4 linked regions of the Canis lupus familiaris genome follow. The protein of the gene in region 3 purifies or fractionates together with the protein of the main gene of each other region. This does not show direct contact. Links are inferred from orthologs where the notes say so. Each region holds a gene or a part of one and is shown on either strand. Other genes may lie near its edges.

What was found. Proteins that work in one complex are often made in the same cells at the same time.
Region 1: the proteins of KRAS (region 3) and C1QBP purify together in Homo sapiens (affinity purification with mass spectrometry; 3 studies listed by BioGRID and IntAct, with this or other methods). This does not show direct contact. The link is inferred for Canis lupus familiaris from reciprocal best matches to the Homo sapiens genes KRAS and C1QBP.
Region 2: the proteins of KRAS (region 3) and HNRNPA0 purify together in Homo sapiens (affinity purification with mass spectrometry; 3 studies listed by BioGRID and IntAct, with this or other methods). This does not show direct contact. The link is inferred for Canis lupus familiaris from reciprocal best matches to the Homo sapiens genes KRAS and HNRNPA0.
Region 4: the proteins of KRAS (region 3) and RPL15 purify together in Homo sapiens (affinity purification with mass spectrometry; 3 studies listed by BioGRID and IntAct, with this or other methods). This does not show direct contact. The link is inferred for Canis lupus familiaris from reciprocal best matches to the Homo sapiens genes KRAS and RPL15.

What each region holds. Positions count from the first base shown.
Region 1 is NC_049226.1:31,558,861-31,563,043, forward strand, and holds the start of C1QBP (complement component 1 Q subcomponent-binding protein, mitochondrial), read left to right. Parts: upstream 1-1,348; 5' UTR 1,349-1,432; coding exon 1,433-1,643; intron 1,644-2,203; coding exon 2,204-2,354; intron 2,355-4,183.
Region 2 is NC_049232.1:25,501,697-25,505,914, reverse strand, and holds the start of HNRNPA0 (heterogeneous nuclear ribonucleoprotein A0), read left to right. Parts: upstream 1-1,383; 5' UTR 1,384-1,724; coding exon 1,725-2,657; 3' UTR 2,658-4,218. UniProt on the Homo sapiens protein: mRNA-binding component of ribonucleosomes. Specifically binds AU-rich element (ARE)-containing mRNAs. Involved in post-transcriptional regulation of cytokines mRNAs.
Region 3 is NC_049248.1:24,260,081-24,263,671, reverse strand, and holds part of KRAS (GTPase KRas), read left to right. Parts: intron 1-1,615; coding exon 1,616-1,775; intron 1,776-3,591. UniProt on the Homo sapiens protein: Ras proteins bind GDP/GTP and possess intrinsic GTPase activity. Plays an important role in the regulation of cell proliferation.
Region 4 is NC_049244.1:20,166,936-20,171,290, forward strand, and holds the start of RPL15 (60S ribosomal protein L15), read right to left. Parts: upstream 2,836-4,355; 5' UTR 2,825-2,835; coding exon 2,653-2,824; intron 2,267-2,652; coding exon 2,130-2,266; intron 1,285-2,129; coding exon 979-1,284; 3' UTR 1-978. Other genes in the region: NKIRAS1 (NF-kappa-B inhibitor-interacting Ras-like protein 1), read left to right, coding at 3,444-3,885.

The DNA.
Region 1 (4,183 bases), on a different chromosome or scaffold from region 3:
TTGACAACAGCCAGGCCTCAGGTTTCCAGAGTCTTCTTCAGTGTATGAAAATCCTCTTAAAAAAAATTTTTTTTAAAAGATTTTATTTATTCATGAGAGACAGAGACACAGAGGGAGAAGCAGACTCCCTGCGGGGAGCCCTATGTAAGACTCAATCCAAGGACCCCAGGATCACACCCTGAGCCACAGGCAGACACTCAACCACTGAGCCACCCAGGTGCCCCTATCCTCTTAAATCTTCCCTAACCCTTACTTCCCCAAGCCCTGGAGTGGCTGCATGCCTTCTGCCCCAGGCTCCTGGCCCTGGGCTAAATGAAACCACCACTTAGCTCCAAGATGCCCAGGACCCAACCAAACCACACGGAGACATTCCAAATAACTCCACCAGAGACGACCCCAGGGGCAGCCCCACACAGGAAACTAAAGGATTTGCAGCAAAGGAGGAGGAAGGAAATAACTTCCAAAGCCGTGACTGTCAAGCAGAGGCGAGCAGGTTATTAAGGGTGAGGGATGAATATCCAGGGAGAGCAGCTGTGTTCCCTGCGCAGGGGCGTCCATCAGGTTGCTCAGGTACAAGGTTGAAAACACCTTTACCTGCGCCCTGTCAGGGCAATGAGGCCCCTGCTCCCCCCGGGGGAGACCTTAACCTTGTGAGGGTGGGGCCAGGGGAAGGGGCGATTAGCGCCTCCCCCCCCCCTCCCCCGGGCCACGGGCTGGGGTCTTGGGCTCATCTCCGATGGGAACACCCGCCTTGCTCTTGGACCAGCCCTGGGACTTGTACCGCGAGGTTGAAGTCTGGGATGCGGTTCGGCCGCCCACGTAGTTCTGCATTCCCTTTTATTCCTTAAAATCCGTAACGACTAAGGCTTTTGCATCTGCGATTCTGACACCGCCTTAGGAGGTTCTTCGAGGAGCTGCTAGGAGTAGGGTGTGGGTGCCAAGAACAGCTGGAGGCCCCAAGTGACCTCTCCGGGGCCTTAAGAGCTCTCTTTTTCTGGGCCCCTCCCTCCTCCTCCCAGCTTCCTGGTCCCAGAACAATGCAAAGTCTTGGGAACTGGGTGCACGCTGGTGGGGGGGAGGGGCACACGCTGGGGGCCGTGTGTGTGCGCGTGCCGGGGCTGTGCATGCTGGGGAGGTGCACACAGGTGGTGTGCACGCCGGGGTGGTGTCCACGCTTGGTAAGGGTGGCGGGAATTCAGAGGGCCGGCCCCGGAGCGGAGCTACCCTCGGGGCTCGGGGTCCCGCGGGGAGACCCGGCGCCGGCGGCCCCGCTGACCTCGGCGGCCCCAGCAGAGGGCGCTGCCAGCCCGACGCCCCGGGCCGGCACTGCACAGGCGCGGAAGCGCTCCCGGGGAGGAGCGGGACTTCCGGCGGCGCGCGAGCCGGGATCCGGGCCTGGTTCGTCCTTCGCGCCCGCACGTGCGTTGCCGCGATGCTACCGCTGCTGCGCCGAGTGCCCCGCGCCCTGGGCTCGGCGGTCGCCGGGCTCCGCGCCGCCCCCGCCCTGCCGCCTCCGACCCTGCTGCGGCCCGCGCCCCGGCCGTGCGTGCGGCCCTTCGGGCTCCTCCCTGTGCGCGCGGGCCTCCTGCGCTCCCGCGGGCCCTGCGGCTGCGGCTGCGGCTGCGGCGGGCTGCACACCCAGGGTGAGGCTGGGGCGCGGCGGGGGCGGTGGTCCGGGGAGCCGCGGCCAGGGGGGCGGGGGCCCAAGGCCCCAAACTCACGACCCCCTGCAGTGGACGACTCCAGGTTAATCCCACGTGGCTTGAGGTTTCCTGCCTTAATCCCGAGAGTGGTGGCTCCCTGGCTGGCGGTGATGCTTCTAAACCCCGGCAGCCGGCTCTATCCTGAGCCTCGGAGGTGGATTCGGGGAGGCGGCTGGTCAGAGTTAAAAGCAGGGGAGGTCGTGTGTGGTCTGGGGCGGGTAACGGGAATCGCCTGGCTTCGCTGTGAAATGCGGTGATGGGCTCGTTGCTGGAAGTCATTTTTCCAGAATTGAGCTCAGCCTCCTGCCACGGGTGTCCAGCCCGTTTCCAGGTTGGGAACCGAGGCCCCGTGGGTCTGACTCCGTGCCCAGAGCCTCCGTAACAGCACAAGCATCAGAATCGGTCGAGGCCAGGTTTCCCACAGCAATCACCCCAAGTCGTTTGTTGGTTTAAGACTGACTGGTTTTTCTTTTTCTGTATCTTATGGGTTTTCATTGCAGGGGACAAAGCTTTCGTCGAGTTCCTGAATGATGAGATTAAGGAGGAAAAGAAAATACAGAAGCACAAGTCCCTCCCCAAAATGTCTGGGGGCTGGGAGCTAGACATGAATGGGACGGAGGCCAAGTTAGTGCGGAAAGTAGCTGGAGAAAAGTAAGTGTGGGCTGCAGGGGGTCCCTCTGACCCGGCGCAGCCTCCCCGATCTTCCAGGGATGCCTTAGAGCAGGTCCCCGGACACATGATTTCCAGGTGCCTCATTCACTGCACGCAGATTGGCTGAGCGTGGATTTATTAAGGAAGGAAGGATGTCCTGGTAAGGAAGGCCCTGCCTGACCCAGGCACGCATATCAGAAAGTCTTCTTAAGATTTCATTTACTATTATTATAATTTTTTAAGATTTTATTTATGCATGAGAGACATAGAGAGAGGCAGAGACACAGGCAGAGGGAGAAGCAGCCTCCATGCAGGGAGCCCAACATGGGACTTGATCCCAGGTCCCCAGGATCCCCTCCGGCTGAAGGTGGCGCTAAACTGCTGAGCCACCAGGGCTGCCCTATTTTTGAGAGAGAGAGCACGCACATGGGCAGAGGGAGAAGCAGGCTCTCCTCCTGAGCAGGGTGCCCTATGGGAGCTGGAGCTCGACCCCAGGACCCTGGGATCACCACCAGAGCCAACCCCAGACCCTTCACCAACCAAGCCACAGAGGTGCCCCCGACTGAGATTTGTGCAGTTCTGACGGATTGGGTGCCGCCTCTGCAGTGCAGGGTTCTGGCCGAGGGAAACCCGGCCCTCCCCCTGACATTTGACGTTTACAGTGGGGAGAACCAGCCTGTGGCCCCCATGTGCGTGGATGAAGCCACATGTGCTTAGTGTCCCCGTTAGAAAGGTACAGAACTTTCCATTTGCTTCACCTCTTCACCATCCCTTTTTTGAGTAAAGTTCTGAGATGTTGTGAACTGGGATCTGATTCTTTCTTTGCCTTTATTTGCCATGTTTTTTTTTCCTGCATAACTTCCCCTAAACCATTTTCTGAGGGTAACGTGTAGCCAGTGGAGTAAATATAATGTTCTAGTGAATAGAGCGGCACCTCTGTGCCCAGGTGCTCAGTGTGGTCAGCACCGCGGCACATTAGATAGGTTTTGTAGCTGAATGTGACACCAGCATCCCTGTACGGGAGCAACTCCAAGCACACCGGCAGGGGGGTCCCGAGTACACCCACGGAGTGGGGGAGCTGGCACCTACCTGCGCTGGGCACTCAGACTCGGAGCACAATTTGTCAGGGGAGGGTTCTGTAGCGGAAGACTGTCATGAGGTGGGTGTTTCCAGGCTGCTTCCTCACGATATGGAACTTCCCACAAGTATTTTAAAGAATGGATTTAGGGGGGGCGGGGGCTCAGTGGTTGAGCATCTGTCTTTGGCTCAGGTCGTGATCTCAGGGTCCTGGGATCGAGTTCCAGGTCGGGCTTTCTACTCAGCAGGGTATCTGCTTCTCCCTCTGCCCCTCCCACTGTTCGTGCTCTCTCAAATAAATATATTTTTAAAAACAGCTCTGGCAGCTGTGTTGACGGGGAGCCCCCTCCCCGGGGCCTATCCTGGCCCTCTCATAGCAGCACCCTTGTGTGCCTCTCTTCCCCTGTCCCTCTGGGCAGATCTCATGGAGTAAAGTTCTTACGAGAGGCTACCTGCTGTCCCAGCACCCTCTGCTGCTCACTGCCACCGAATGGCTGGTGGCCAGGAGCCCTGGGTTGGCAGGGTGGGGGGGCAGTTAGTAACCCACTGCGTCTGCACGTGGCGGAGACAAGGAGATAAAGTGGGGCCTGTGGGTTTATTTTTTATTTTTTTTTTAAGATTTTATTTATTTATTCATGAGAATACACAGAGAGGAGAGAGAGAAGCAGAGACACAGGCAGAGGGAGAAGCAGGCTCCATGCAGGGAGCCCAATGTGGGACTCGATCCCAGGTCTCCAGGATCACACCCAGGG
Region 2 (4,218 bases), on a different chromosome or scaffold from region 3:
TTTCCTACTTTGCTTATTTAGAGTCCCTTCAGAAATTGTATCTAGCCTTTGAATTCCATATTGAGTGCAAGTTCCACTTGTTTCACCATTCAATCCTTAATACTCCAAGGTGCAGGGAGGAGTAATACCTCTTCTTCACTATTTACCACCTGGCTTGGGGCGGGGGGGGCGGGAATCTTGGTCATGCACTGTCTCGTACCAGCGTCCCCCTCGTTGGATCTTGACAGGCACACGAAGGTCCAGGACGCGGAAGCCCTTATACCTGACTTTCTCTTGCACGGGAGGGAGGGTCGGTAAGGCGGTTACCAGGGGGGCGTGGTATTTACGTGCTTCCTTCAACTCCTTTGGCTCCAGGTTATAAAATGCCTTTAAAAAAAAAAAGCTAACGGTTTGGTTGGGAAGGAAGCAACGCACAGGTAACGTCAACATAGAAAACGGTGTGTTCCCCTCGGTCAATGGGCAATGCCAGCTGTGCGCGAGCGAGCGTGGGCTTCGGGCCGGAGGGTGGCGGGGGTCTGGCGCCGCGCCTCGATGGGAAGTCGGAGCCGCTGGTGGCACGCCGCCGACCTCCGCCGGGCCTCGGGCTCGCCCCTGCGCGGCACCACGCGCCCGCGCTGCACTTTACCTGAGGCTCGGGCCCCCGGGAAACCGTCAGTAACCGCCTTTCCCGATCAGGCCTCTGCCCTCCATCTTTGTGCGGGCGGGGCGGCCGGGCTGCCAGGTGTAGCGGCCCCGCCGAACCGCGGCGGGGGAGCCCAGGCCCCCAACCCCAACAGTCGAGTTTTCAAAAAGCCCGCGCGTGGCGCGCCCCAGGTCGCATCCGTTGGGAACTGCCCCCGGCGCGCCCCCGCTGACCCCCCCCCGCCCCAAGCCCGGGACCAGGGGCAGCGTCCGGGCGGCAGGCAGGTTCTGCACCCGGGGGGCGCACCGGGGAGCGCGCCCGTCCAGCGGCGGCCGAGACCGGAAGTGGGCGCGAGCGCATCGCGGTGATTGGCTGCAGCCGCACGTCCCTCAAGGGGCTGGCGCGAACGCCACTGCGGAGTGGGGCGAGGGGATACGGCAAGGGGAGGGGGCAGCACGCTGGGAACAGCCGCGGGGCTGGGAGGAGAGGAATTGCGGAGCTGCGCGGGGAGCCGGGGGCGTCCGTGGTCGGGGCACCCGGGGAGCCGGGGCGTGAAGCCCGGCCTACAGAGGCGGCGGCGGGAGCCGCGCAGGCCGAAGGCTTGAATCGACCGCGGAGGGCGGGGAGTCGGTGGCCGAGAGCGGCGCCGCGGCGCGGTAGGCGGGACTAGGGAGAGCGACGCAGGGATTGGCGGGCGGCGCTGGGCGGCCGTACGTCGGCGGTGACGCACGCCTCGGGGAGGGTGCGCGCGCGTTCAGCGGCCTCTTTGTGTGGTGCCCAGATAGGGGAGCGGAGGCGGCGGCGGCGGCGGCGGCGGTGGTGGCGGCGGTGGCGGTAGCGGTAGCGGTAGCGGTGGCGGTAGTGACGGCCTTGGTTGTCTTCCAGTCTCCTCGGCTCGCCCTCTAGCCAGCACCTCTCCCCTTCCCTCCCCCTTCCTCTCTTCCTCCTTCCCTCCCCTTCCCTTCCTCCCTTCCCCGTCGGTGACGGCGGTGGCGGCTCCAGCAACGGCTGGGCCCAAGCTGTGAGGAGGCCTTAGCCAGCGATAACGGCGACGGCGAAACCTCGGAGCTCGCAGGGCGGGGGGAAGGCCCGGGCCGTGGAGATGGAGAATTCCCAGTTGTGCAAGCTGTTCATCGGCGGCCTCAACGTGCAGACGAGTGAGTCGGGCCTGCGCGGCCACTTCGAGGCCTTTGGGACTCTGACGGACTGCGTGGTGGTGGTGAACCCCCAGACCAAGCGCTCCCGTTGCTTCGGCTTCGTGACCTACTCCAACGTGGAGGAGGCCGATGCCGCCATGGCCGCCTCGCCCCACGCCGTGGACGGCAACACGGTGGAGCTGAAGCGGGCGGTGTCCCGGGAGGATTCGGCGCGGCCCGGTGCCCACGCCAAGGTTAAGAAGCTCTTTGTCGGGGGCCTTAAGGGAGACGTGGCGGAGGGCGACCTGATCGAGCACTTCTCGCAGTTCGGCACGGTGGAAAAGGCCGAGATTATTGCCGACAAGCAGTCGGGCAAGAAGCGCGGCTTTGGCTTCGTGTATTTCCAGAATCACGACGCGGCAGACAAGGCCGCGGTTGTCAAGTTCCACCCGATCCAGGGCCATCGCGTGGAGGTGAAGAAGGCCGTGCCCAAGGAGGATATCCACTCCGGTGGGGGCGGAGGCGGCTCGCGGTCCTCCCGGGGCGGCCGGGGCGGCCGGGGCCGCGGCGGGGGTCGAGACCAGAACGGCCTGTCCAAGGGCGGCGGCGGCGGCGGCGGCGGTTACAACAGCTACGGTGGTTACGGCGGCGGCGGCGGCGGCGGTGGCGGCTACAATGCCTACGGAGGCGGCGGAGGCGGTTCGTCCTACGGTGGGAGCGACTACGGTAACGGCTTCGGCGGCTTCGGCAGCTACAGCCAGCACCAGTCCTCCTACGGGCCCATGAAGGGCGGCGGCGGCGGCGGCGGCGGTGGCAGCAGCTGGGGCGGTCGCAGTAACAGTGGACCTTACAGAGGCGGCTACGGCGGTGGCGGTGGTTATGGAGGCAGCTCCTTCTAAAAAGAAATCTAAATATGCCTGGGAGTGGCTATAGGGGTAGCTCTTCTACACCCCAGCTGGGGTAACTCCTACGTTCTTTACTCTCCCACCACCGCCTTCCCCGTTTTGCCCTTGGGGGAGCCGCTTCTAAGGCTGCTTATCCTTGGGGGTGTTGCCCTATTTGCCTGCCACCTCTCTTGTCTCTCCCTCTGAAGATGGACTCGGCCCCACATACACATTTTTGTGTTACAGTCATTGATGGACTCTATTTTTTTATTATTACTTGGACCTTGGTCGTTTTTATACTAGCAAAATGTCTTGTTTTAATTTGTGTTTTTTTTTTTGGGGGGGGAGGGAGTGAACTTGCTGATTCTGTAGCAAAACCTGGGCGGGGGTTGGGGGGGGGTAGTTTACTTTGTTGTAAGGACTTGATATCTGGCTACAGCGTTTTCTATGAAATCTACTTGGATCCCATGCCTGAAATTTGGACACATATGTACAAAAATCATTTTTACGTTTTATTTTTAATAAATCATTGTGTTTGACCGTATATGTCTAACATTTTTTTTCTAGGATCTATTACGTACCGTTTTAAGGGATATTAGTTAAAATTTTTTCGTGTTAATTCTAAATTCTTGATGTGTACTTGAAGACACTTTTAAAAGGTCCTTTGGTGGCTTTTTTTTTTTTTCCTGTTGCTCTTCTAGTGACGTGTTGAGTTTTATCCCTACAGGCAAAACTTTTGAAGTGGTGGATGTAGTTTTTTAAAATCTTCAAAGTTTCTGTGCATCCATCTCATACTAAGCGATTTGCTTATCTTGACATGGTTGGTCACTTCTTTCTATGAGAATTTACTTCAAAGTATGTACTGGTAGTTCAAAAAGAAATAGTTTGTGTTAAGCATGTGTTTTCATTCATATAAACTGTTTAAAATTTTTCAGATGGCCTAGTTTCATCCCTCTTACTGGTTTGTCTGTAATAAATGGTTACAAAGAAGGGTTATATTTTACCCTTAAACTAAATGCATTTTTGTATTTTCAGAGCAGGTTTAAACGTTTTTTCCTATAGCTGAACTGTTGTCCTCTTGGAAATCCTTCCCCCAACCTTTGTAGCACCATCTACTGGCAGAATGGCAGTATCTCTGCAAAAACCATTTGTTTTAAAAACTTGTTTAGGATAATTGCATCAGATTTAGAAATTTTGCCATCAAAGATCTGTGCAGACTTTGGTTACACGTTTACTTGTAACGAAGATGGGCTTTATGGGAATGTAGTTAACAGTCCATATCACAATTGCCCTTTCTACACAAGATTTGAAAATGTAAACTGCTACGCATAGCTTGGGCAGTGGCCCGAAATTGCTATGACAACTAATGAACCAGCTACGTGTACTGGTATCTTAGGTGCAAGTTGTAAAGCAAAGTATTTGTGTATTCTGCTTGGTTAACAAATGTATATTTGTAGCCCTTTCATGCAATAGAATTCAAGTTGTTGTTTATAAAAAAAAACAAAACAAAACAATGATATAGGAGAAAATTGCCTTCCTGGTTAGAAATATAGAATAGCATCGTTTATGGATATCA
Region 3 (3,591 bases):
AATATAATAAAATGACATCGAGGGCTAATTATATCTTTTCATTTTATTGAGTCTTTGCTGATTACCATGCATAAATTGTCTAAATTTTAAAATAATAATGAGGTATGTAATGTACCCCTGTTTTACAAATGGAGTTGTTGAGGATTAGAACAGTTGAGTAACTTGTTCCAGATTGTGTAGATAGTGGTACTGGAATTGAAACCTTGGCTTGTTTGACTTCAAAACCTGTGCTCTTAACTGCTGTACACTGTGGTCACAAGGCTTTAAGCTAGAGCCATCATAAAAATGAAAACCATCAACATGAATATGAAAAGGTCATAGAGGTGGTACCACTCAAATAGCCTTAAAGATAATCGAATATAGTGTAGAATTTCTTGGAACTGGATAAACATTGGCTTTAGATAGTTAAGAAAAACTCTGGAGTTGTAAAAGATTGAAATATTAGAATAATTACAATCTGTAAAGTGACAAATCTGCATAAAATCGACTACTTTAAAATAATTGTTACTGTATTAAATATACTTTATATTCTATTTCTCTGAGGGTTTATGGTTTTCAAAAAAGTGCATATTAAATATCCCATTCATTAACTATGTTCTATAATAGTGAGTTAGCCTATTTGAGAGGTATGACATTTTATTAAATACATTTCTTACAGCGTGTTTTGTTTGTAGTCTAGTGATAGAGAAAAAGAAATTTTTTTTTAAAATTTTTATTTATTTATGATAGTCACAGAGAGAGAGAGAGAGAGGCAGAGACACAGGCAGAGGGAGAAGCAGGCTCCATGCAGTGGGAGCCTGACGTGGGATTCGATCCCGGGTCTCCAGGATCGCGCCCTGGGCCAAAGGCAGGCGCCAAACCGCTGCGCCACCCAGGGATCCCAGAAAAAGAAATTTTAACAGGTGACTTTTTTTAGAATAGTAAATAGATGTCAGTATGTTAAGCTGTAAAGTTAACTTAGCTATTGAGTAGAGGAACTGGGAATTTGAAACAGTTCTGACTCCATTGTTCCTATTTCATGCTGTATCTTTGAAATTCACCTAAAATTGTGAAAGAATATAATTTTACCCCAAATTAAGAGTTTATGCACATCTTATAGAAAAAAAAAAAAACCAACCCAATTTGTAGAAGGATTTGTAACAGAATAAACAGTGTAGTAAGGTCAATGTTAACCATGTAGAAATCAGAGTCTTTCCAATTGGTGCTCTTTTTTGAGAAAAATATGTGAAAATTATGTCATAAAATTCTATATGTATATAATAACATTTAATATATGTTTCTAAGATTATAATTTTAAAAATTAGGCACAGCACATTTTTAGCCGAATTTTTCAGTATTTCCTGTTTTATCATTGTGACCTACCTGCATATGGACCTATTAAGTTGTAGTTTTACTATATTTCTGGGTATTTTATCTTTTAAGAGACATAGAAATTCTCTGTTTAAGTTGGAGAAGAAAACAAAAGGAAAAGCAAGGAAAATTTGGTGTGGTTGGAAATCAGGAATTAATTAAATGTCTTCTTTCAGCCATGTTTTATAAGACAAAATTATGGATAATTTTTGAAAGATTTATTTTGTTACTAATGTCTCTGCTATAACTTTTTTTTCCTCCCCAGAGAACAAATTAAAAGAGTTAAAGACTCTGAAGATGTACCTATGGTCCTAGTAGGAAATAAATGTGATTTGCCTTCTAGAACAGTAGACACAAAACAGGCTCAGGACTTAGCAAGAAGTTATGGAATTCCTTTTATTGAAACATCAGCAAAGACAAGACAGGTAAGTAAAATTTTAATAAATATGAGTCGATTCTCCATAAACTATATCAAATAATTTTAATCATCAGTCGTAATTTGCTAACATATATTCTGATAACATCATTTTGAGGGCAGGAAGGCAAGAACATTGATAAATGTACATACCTGATTGCATAACTGTTATATCATTTCATGTAACTTAATTTTTCTTCCCATCATGCTAAAATAGAGAATAAAACAATGTTTATTTAGCAAATGTTCTCTTAAGGATAGGAAAGGGCAGCATTTTTTAATCCAGTGTCCATGGTATTGCTTTTGGCTTTGGTTTCTTTCCACATATGAATATTTCTGTTCAACTCAGCACATCTTGCATTAAGCATTCAAGAAATGTAGGGATTTTTTTTTTTTTCAACTGTTATATTTATAAAGTCAAAGATTGGGAACAAATACTGAGTTTCCTATTTTAGAAGTGTTTTGAAGAGTATTATGTCATGTGTTTCTAGATTAAATTCTATTGTATTTGAAGAATTTTACTTTGCTAGAATTATATTTAGATACATTTATTTTTGGAGGAAGTTTTCATTAAGCAAAAAATATTTAGAAAGTAAATAGAAATTCTCAGTTATTCATTTACTGTGGTGTTCTGAGAAAAATTAATGCTAGATTGACTCTGAATTTTAAAAATTATCTTCATTTTTAAAAGTAACTTTTTCTCTAGGTAAAATAATTTCAGTTGACATTATTTAACCTGTTTGTATGAAATGAGAGTTTAACGTATAGAAAATTCTAGAAAGGAATACATAAAGATATGATGGAATATAATTTTCATATATTAAAAATTGATCAGTTATATTCCCTTCAAGACGAACATTTATTTTGGGCTCTGCTAGTTTAGTACCTGTGAACCCACAAAGCCAATTTTGTGGAATTAACTTCTAAATGCTAGGAATTAAGAAAATTGATGAATACTTGTTTAAATGTATAAAAACAGGTATTCTGTAACTTTTATTGAATTTGTAAAAGGGTAAAAATTTTAAACCATCTTAATGGTTAATTTTAACCATCTTTTAGCTAATATTATGTGTCTGTTTTCTTAGTGGAAGATCACATTTACTGCTTCCTGATTGTACAAATTTGATACACACTGAAGAAATAATGAATTCTCTTCTTTAGGGATTAAAAGCTAAATTTCTGTAGCTTGATTATAGTACAAATATCTCATTCTAAAACCTGATTTATAGGTTAAAGAATGATGTTGTATACAGCACTTCACTTGAGTTTAGTGGAATTAAGATTTCATTCAAATCTATTCCCAGGTCCCAAAGACTGGGAAAAGTTTAGTTTTTGTCTTCTTTTTACTGGTCTTCTCTAACCAGACCTCTTGATTTCTCCTATAGAGGAGGTATTCATAAAACATGACTATAATATCGATAGCTTTTCTCCAAACATTTTCTTATGAAAATATTTCAAATGTAAAATAGGACTATTATTAAAACCATTTATCAACATACTGCCTATTACTAAATCATATCATTAACATTTTATTAACCTGCAGTATTGTAACTTTTAATACTTTTTAGACAACATTAGTTAATATTTTAATTTACATTTTATAAAAAAAACATTTTGCCTTATGTTGGTAAAGGGCTGCAAATATAGCAGGGCTTCTTATGCTTAATATGCATATTCAAATCCAGATTCTAATCAGTGGGTGGGTTCAGGTTGTGACCTGTGACCCTGCATTTCTAACAGACTCAAGTGATGATGATTTTGGTACATGGACCACACTTGGGGTAGAAAGACAACAGAAGAGACAGTAAAAGGGTGTTGTCTGTTAC
Region 4 (4,355 bases), on a different chromosome or scaffold from region 3:
TAAAGCCAACCCTATTTTTTCCTCTAAGGTGTCTAGTGGATAAAGACCAGGGATAAAGTATTTAAAATTCTGATCAAAGTTAACTTTATCTTCACACTTGAAAGGCTGATGGTCACCATTTTCCCAATTCTAGCATTAGTTACTAGCTTACAAACCTTAAGGTAAAGTCTTATTTGCCTAATGTTCAATTTCCATCAGTTTTCATATAGACCAGAGTAAATACCATTAACTGACTGCTTAGTATGAAATTCGGTATTCTACATTAAGTTGTGGGATAAAACCAGGAGCCTCCACTTTTTATGTGGATTTCAATGGTACTGTGGAGGAAACCCATGCAATTTTGCTTCCATTGTGCAGAATTATTTTCATTTTTAAGAAAACCTTCTTACAACAGGTTTGTTCAATTTTTTAAAAATGGTGGCATTCTTTCCAAAGCAGCAGTTACATAATTGGAACACTGGATTCAATCTAAAAATGTGTTTCCTATTTAACACTGTTCTGCATACGATCACGATTAAAGATTAGGATATTTTTTCACATTTCTAAGCAAAATCCAGTTTAAAAAGGTTGTTCTTACCAAACCCCTAAAAACGGCCATTTGAGAGTAAACCAGAGCATCTCAGCACCCCATGAAGCTGTAGGTTTCATTACATGCACCAACAAATCTACATGGCTAGCTTCTGCATTCCACTTTTACAGAATTTATTTTACACCTATTATACCAAACAGCATTTTAAACACTGACATATAAACTCCCTAATAAGATAAAGCAAAGACAAAAGCGTTTATCTTATTAGAAACAAGATACACCATCACTTATAGTCTTCAAACATTATTGCACTTTTCATAATTTGACAATGCATTCATGGGACAATCTGCAGACAACTAATTTTAACAGACAAATTAAAGAACACTTTTAAGCAGACATGACTGTCCTAAATTGTTTATTAGGTAAGAATTTTACAAACATTACTTATATTAGCGGTAACGGTGGAGCTGGAGAGTATTGCGCCTTCTCCATGCCGCACGGCGAGAACCACCAATAGTGTGGTGGAACTTGTGACCCTTCCCAAGGCCACGACTCTTGCGGCCTGCAGAGGTCAGCCCTCGCATCTCCCTGTGTTTGTGGACTGGTTTGGTGATCCACTGGGTGTCAGGATTTCTTCTGATAGCTTTATGGAATGGATCAATGAGGATAACCTCAAAGAATTTGTATGTGGAATCTTCGCCAACCCAATAAGAATTCAAGACTCTCAGAGCTCCGCAGTGGCGTCCAGCTCGCTCCTAGAACAGGAAAAAAGGCCCAAGGTCAGCCTCCCATTTCCCACAGTAGGAAGTTAGGAAGTAGGAATTCCCTTTAATTTACCACACTAGGCAAGAGACAAGGCTGTTCACTAACTGCTTGAATATTTACTAAAGATTTACCCAGGGGTTAGGACCCCAAATACAGTTAAGACTTACTGAAGTAACACACAAAACATTCTATAACTTTAAACCATTGCTACTATCACCACCCCCCCCCCCCCCGACTAAGGCACGAATGCTAATTTCTATTAAAATTGAGGAACTTAGTCTTTCCCTAACACAGTTGAGGGATCAACAAACCTTTCATACAGAACCCTAATATTTAGCACATTATTTTAGGCTTTGCAAGCCACAAGTCTCTAGTTTAAGTCATCTTTGCCTTTTCTTTTAAAAACAAAACATTTTTAGCTTACAGAAGGTAACAAACCCTTGCTTGTCAACCTCTGGGGCAGACAGAGCACAGCTTCATTTAATGCAGAAAAACAACTTACAACCAAATATAGAAAATCAGCCATATGCACAGCTTCTGTGCATCCAGGGGAGATGTGCTCTCAAGACCAAGTTTACTGCCCTTCAAAAGCTTAGGTTCCAAGGTCCACATTAATCATAAAACTTTCCATTATACAGAGACAGATTAGTAACAAAGACTAAGACCGACAGCAATGCTTTACTAAGACAGCTCAGTAAAAATCACAAACACAACAGGGTTCACCTACGTACAAGTTAATAATTAGAAAAGGTGCTCAAAAAAAAAGAAAAGTTGCTCAAATCCTTCTCCACTACCTCCAGGTGACTGATACAACTGCTACTGAAAAATCACTTACCTCTGCAACAGACTGAAGGCTTCGGGCAAACTTTAGCTGGTTAACACCATGATGGACAGGCTTGCCATAGGTAGCACCCTTAGGAACTGGGCGTTTGCGGCCACCACGACGCACACGAATCCGATATATGACATAACCTATACAAACAAATCGACAGTGGTCTTATATAAGCCAAATAATAAATATCTGAAGGTAAAACAAATATCCATTTAAGACTTACTCTAAAAATAAACCCATTCCAGTGTTTCTCGAAGTACACACGGAGAATAATTTCTCATTCCCACTCTACAATTTATTTTGCTTTAGTCCGATTCCTACAGACTTGTAACGCAGAACGTCTTTGGTACTTTATAGACAATTGTGTTCAGTGTTTATCGGTCAAGAATTTCTGTGCGTTGCTAGCTGAAGACAGTTTCTACCAACACCTTAAGTGAAAGAAGACATTGGGGCCACAGTACACCTAATTACCAGCTTCCTAACATTCCCCGAGGAACATCATCTGATCCATGCAGAGACCACTCACCTTGCTTGGCCTTGTAGCCCAGTCTGCGCGCTTTATCGGGCCGGGTTGGGCGGGGGGCCCTGTGGAGCGCAGAGAGCTGGCGATACTGCCAGCAGCGCACCCGGAGAAGAAAGCGCATGACGTCGGACTGCTTCTTCCTCCATAGCTCCTGGATGTACTTGTACGCACCCATCTCGGCCTACCCTGGAGACAAAAAACACCATGCATTTAAAATGAGACGACCGCGTCCGTCCATCTTAGTTCCCCACCCGCCATAAGGAAACCGGAGACTGAAAATGGCTCTTCGCGAACTGCAGGGGATAGCTGCGCCCTAGGAGCACGGCTGTCACCTCTGCGACCCCAGCGCAGGGACTCGGTACATTTCTGTCGGACGAACGGATGGCGCTAGATGGGCATGGGGGCGGGGAGGCTGCTGAATGCAGCGGGCGGCGTCCCCAAGGCCCTGGCCTGCAAAGAGACCTCGCTGATGCCCTAGGGAAGGTACTGTAGCCGCTGCCCCTGAAGGAGGACTCTCGAGGAAAAAGCCCTTACTCCACTCAACCCACAGGCCTCGCTCGCTTTAGGACCCTCTTGGCCCGGCCTTCCGTCCCTCAGCCTCAGGCTTCCTTTCCTTCACGCTCCCGGCCCCGCTCGAATTCGCGCCGCCATCACATCACCGCCCCAGCCCGCCCGGGGGCCGCCTCCGCACGCCCGCGCAGCCCCGCATCCTGACCGAACTCGCGCCGCACAGGTGGCAGGAGGAGCTCCGAGGACACAGGGTCCCCGAGTCTGGATGGCTGAGGCAAAGACCGATGAGCGGCGGATGGAGCAGCGAATTCTACCAACACACAGCCTACCTGATGGCTGCCGCCAGACGGAAAGGAAAGAGCCCTTCTCCCACAATCCTTTTTGGGCTCCTCCCCCACAGCGGCGAGCCTCTTTCCGGTGGAAGGCTGCGGCTCCCACAGCCTCATGGGACATGTAGTTCGGTGCAGCCCGCGGTGGGCGGAGCTCGGCCGGGATTGGGCGCAGCCTCCCCTCTTATCCCGCCCCCCGATCCTCAGGATTTGAGTTTGAGAGGCTGGGGCGGCCGAGAGGGCGGCAGTCCTCGGGAGGCGGCGGCGGGCGAGCGTCCAAGGCCGTCCTGCAGCCGGGAGGAGGCCGGTCGGGGGCGGGGCTCAGGGGGCCGAAGCCGGGGTGGAATCGCTCTGCCACAGCGCCGCTGTCTTTGGAGCCTGCGGAGCGGGTGTACAGGTGTGTGTCTTGAGGGACCGGGCGCCGCTTCGTGCACCGCAGGCTCCTTACCTGAGGAGCCGCAGCGGCTTCCCCGGGGCGGCGCTCCCCGTCCCCCTTCGCCCGGTAGCCGGGACCCCGACGCGCTCTGACAGACCCTCGTGGCGCTGCCCCGGCCGCCAGACAGGACGTTCGCGCTGCCAGGGCTTCGCGGTGGGGCGAGCGCCCGCCCCGGACTTCACCCCCGCAGGCCCGGGTTCCGGGGGATTTTGCCCCAGAGGAGGGTCGGAGGGTGGGGAACCGGGGCGCCAGGGCCGCGAGCGCGGGCGGCTCGGCGCCTTTTCGTTTCCGTGCCTTTGCTGCGTACCGACTTCTAGATTTGCTACGTCAGAACCAATTTTTTTTTTTTTTTTTTTAGAAAGGCAAAATATTTTTGTGCCAAGACTTGGTTGGCAGGTACGAGTATTTCGAGAAGAAAAGCCAAGAAAATG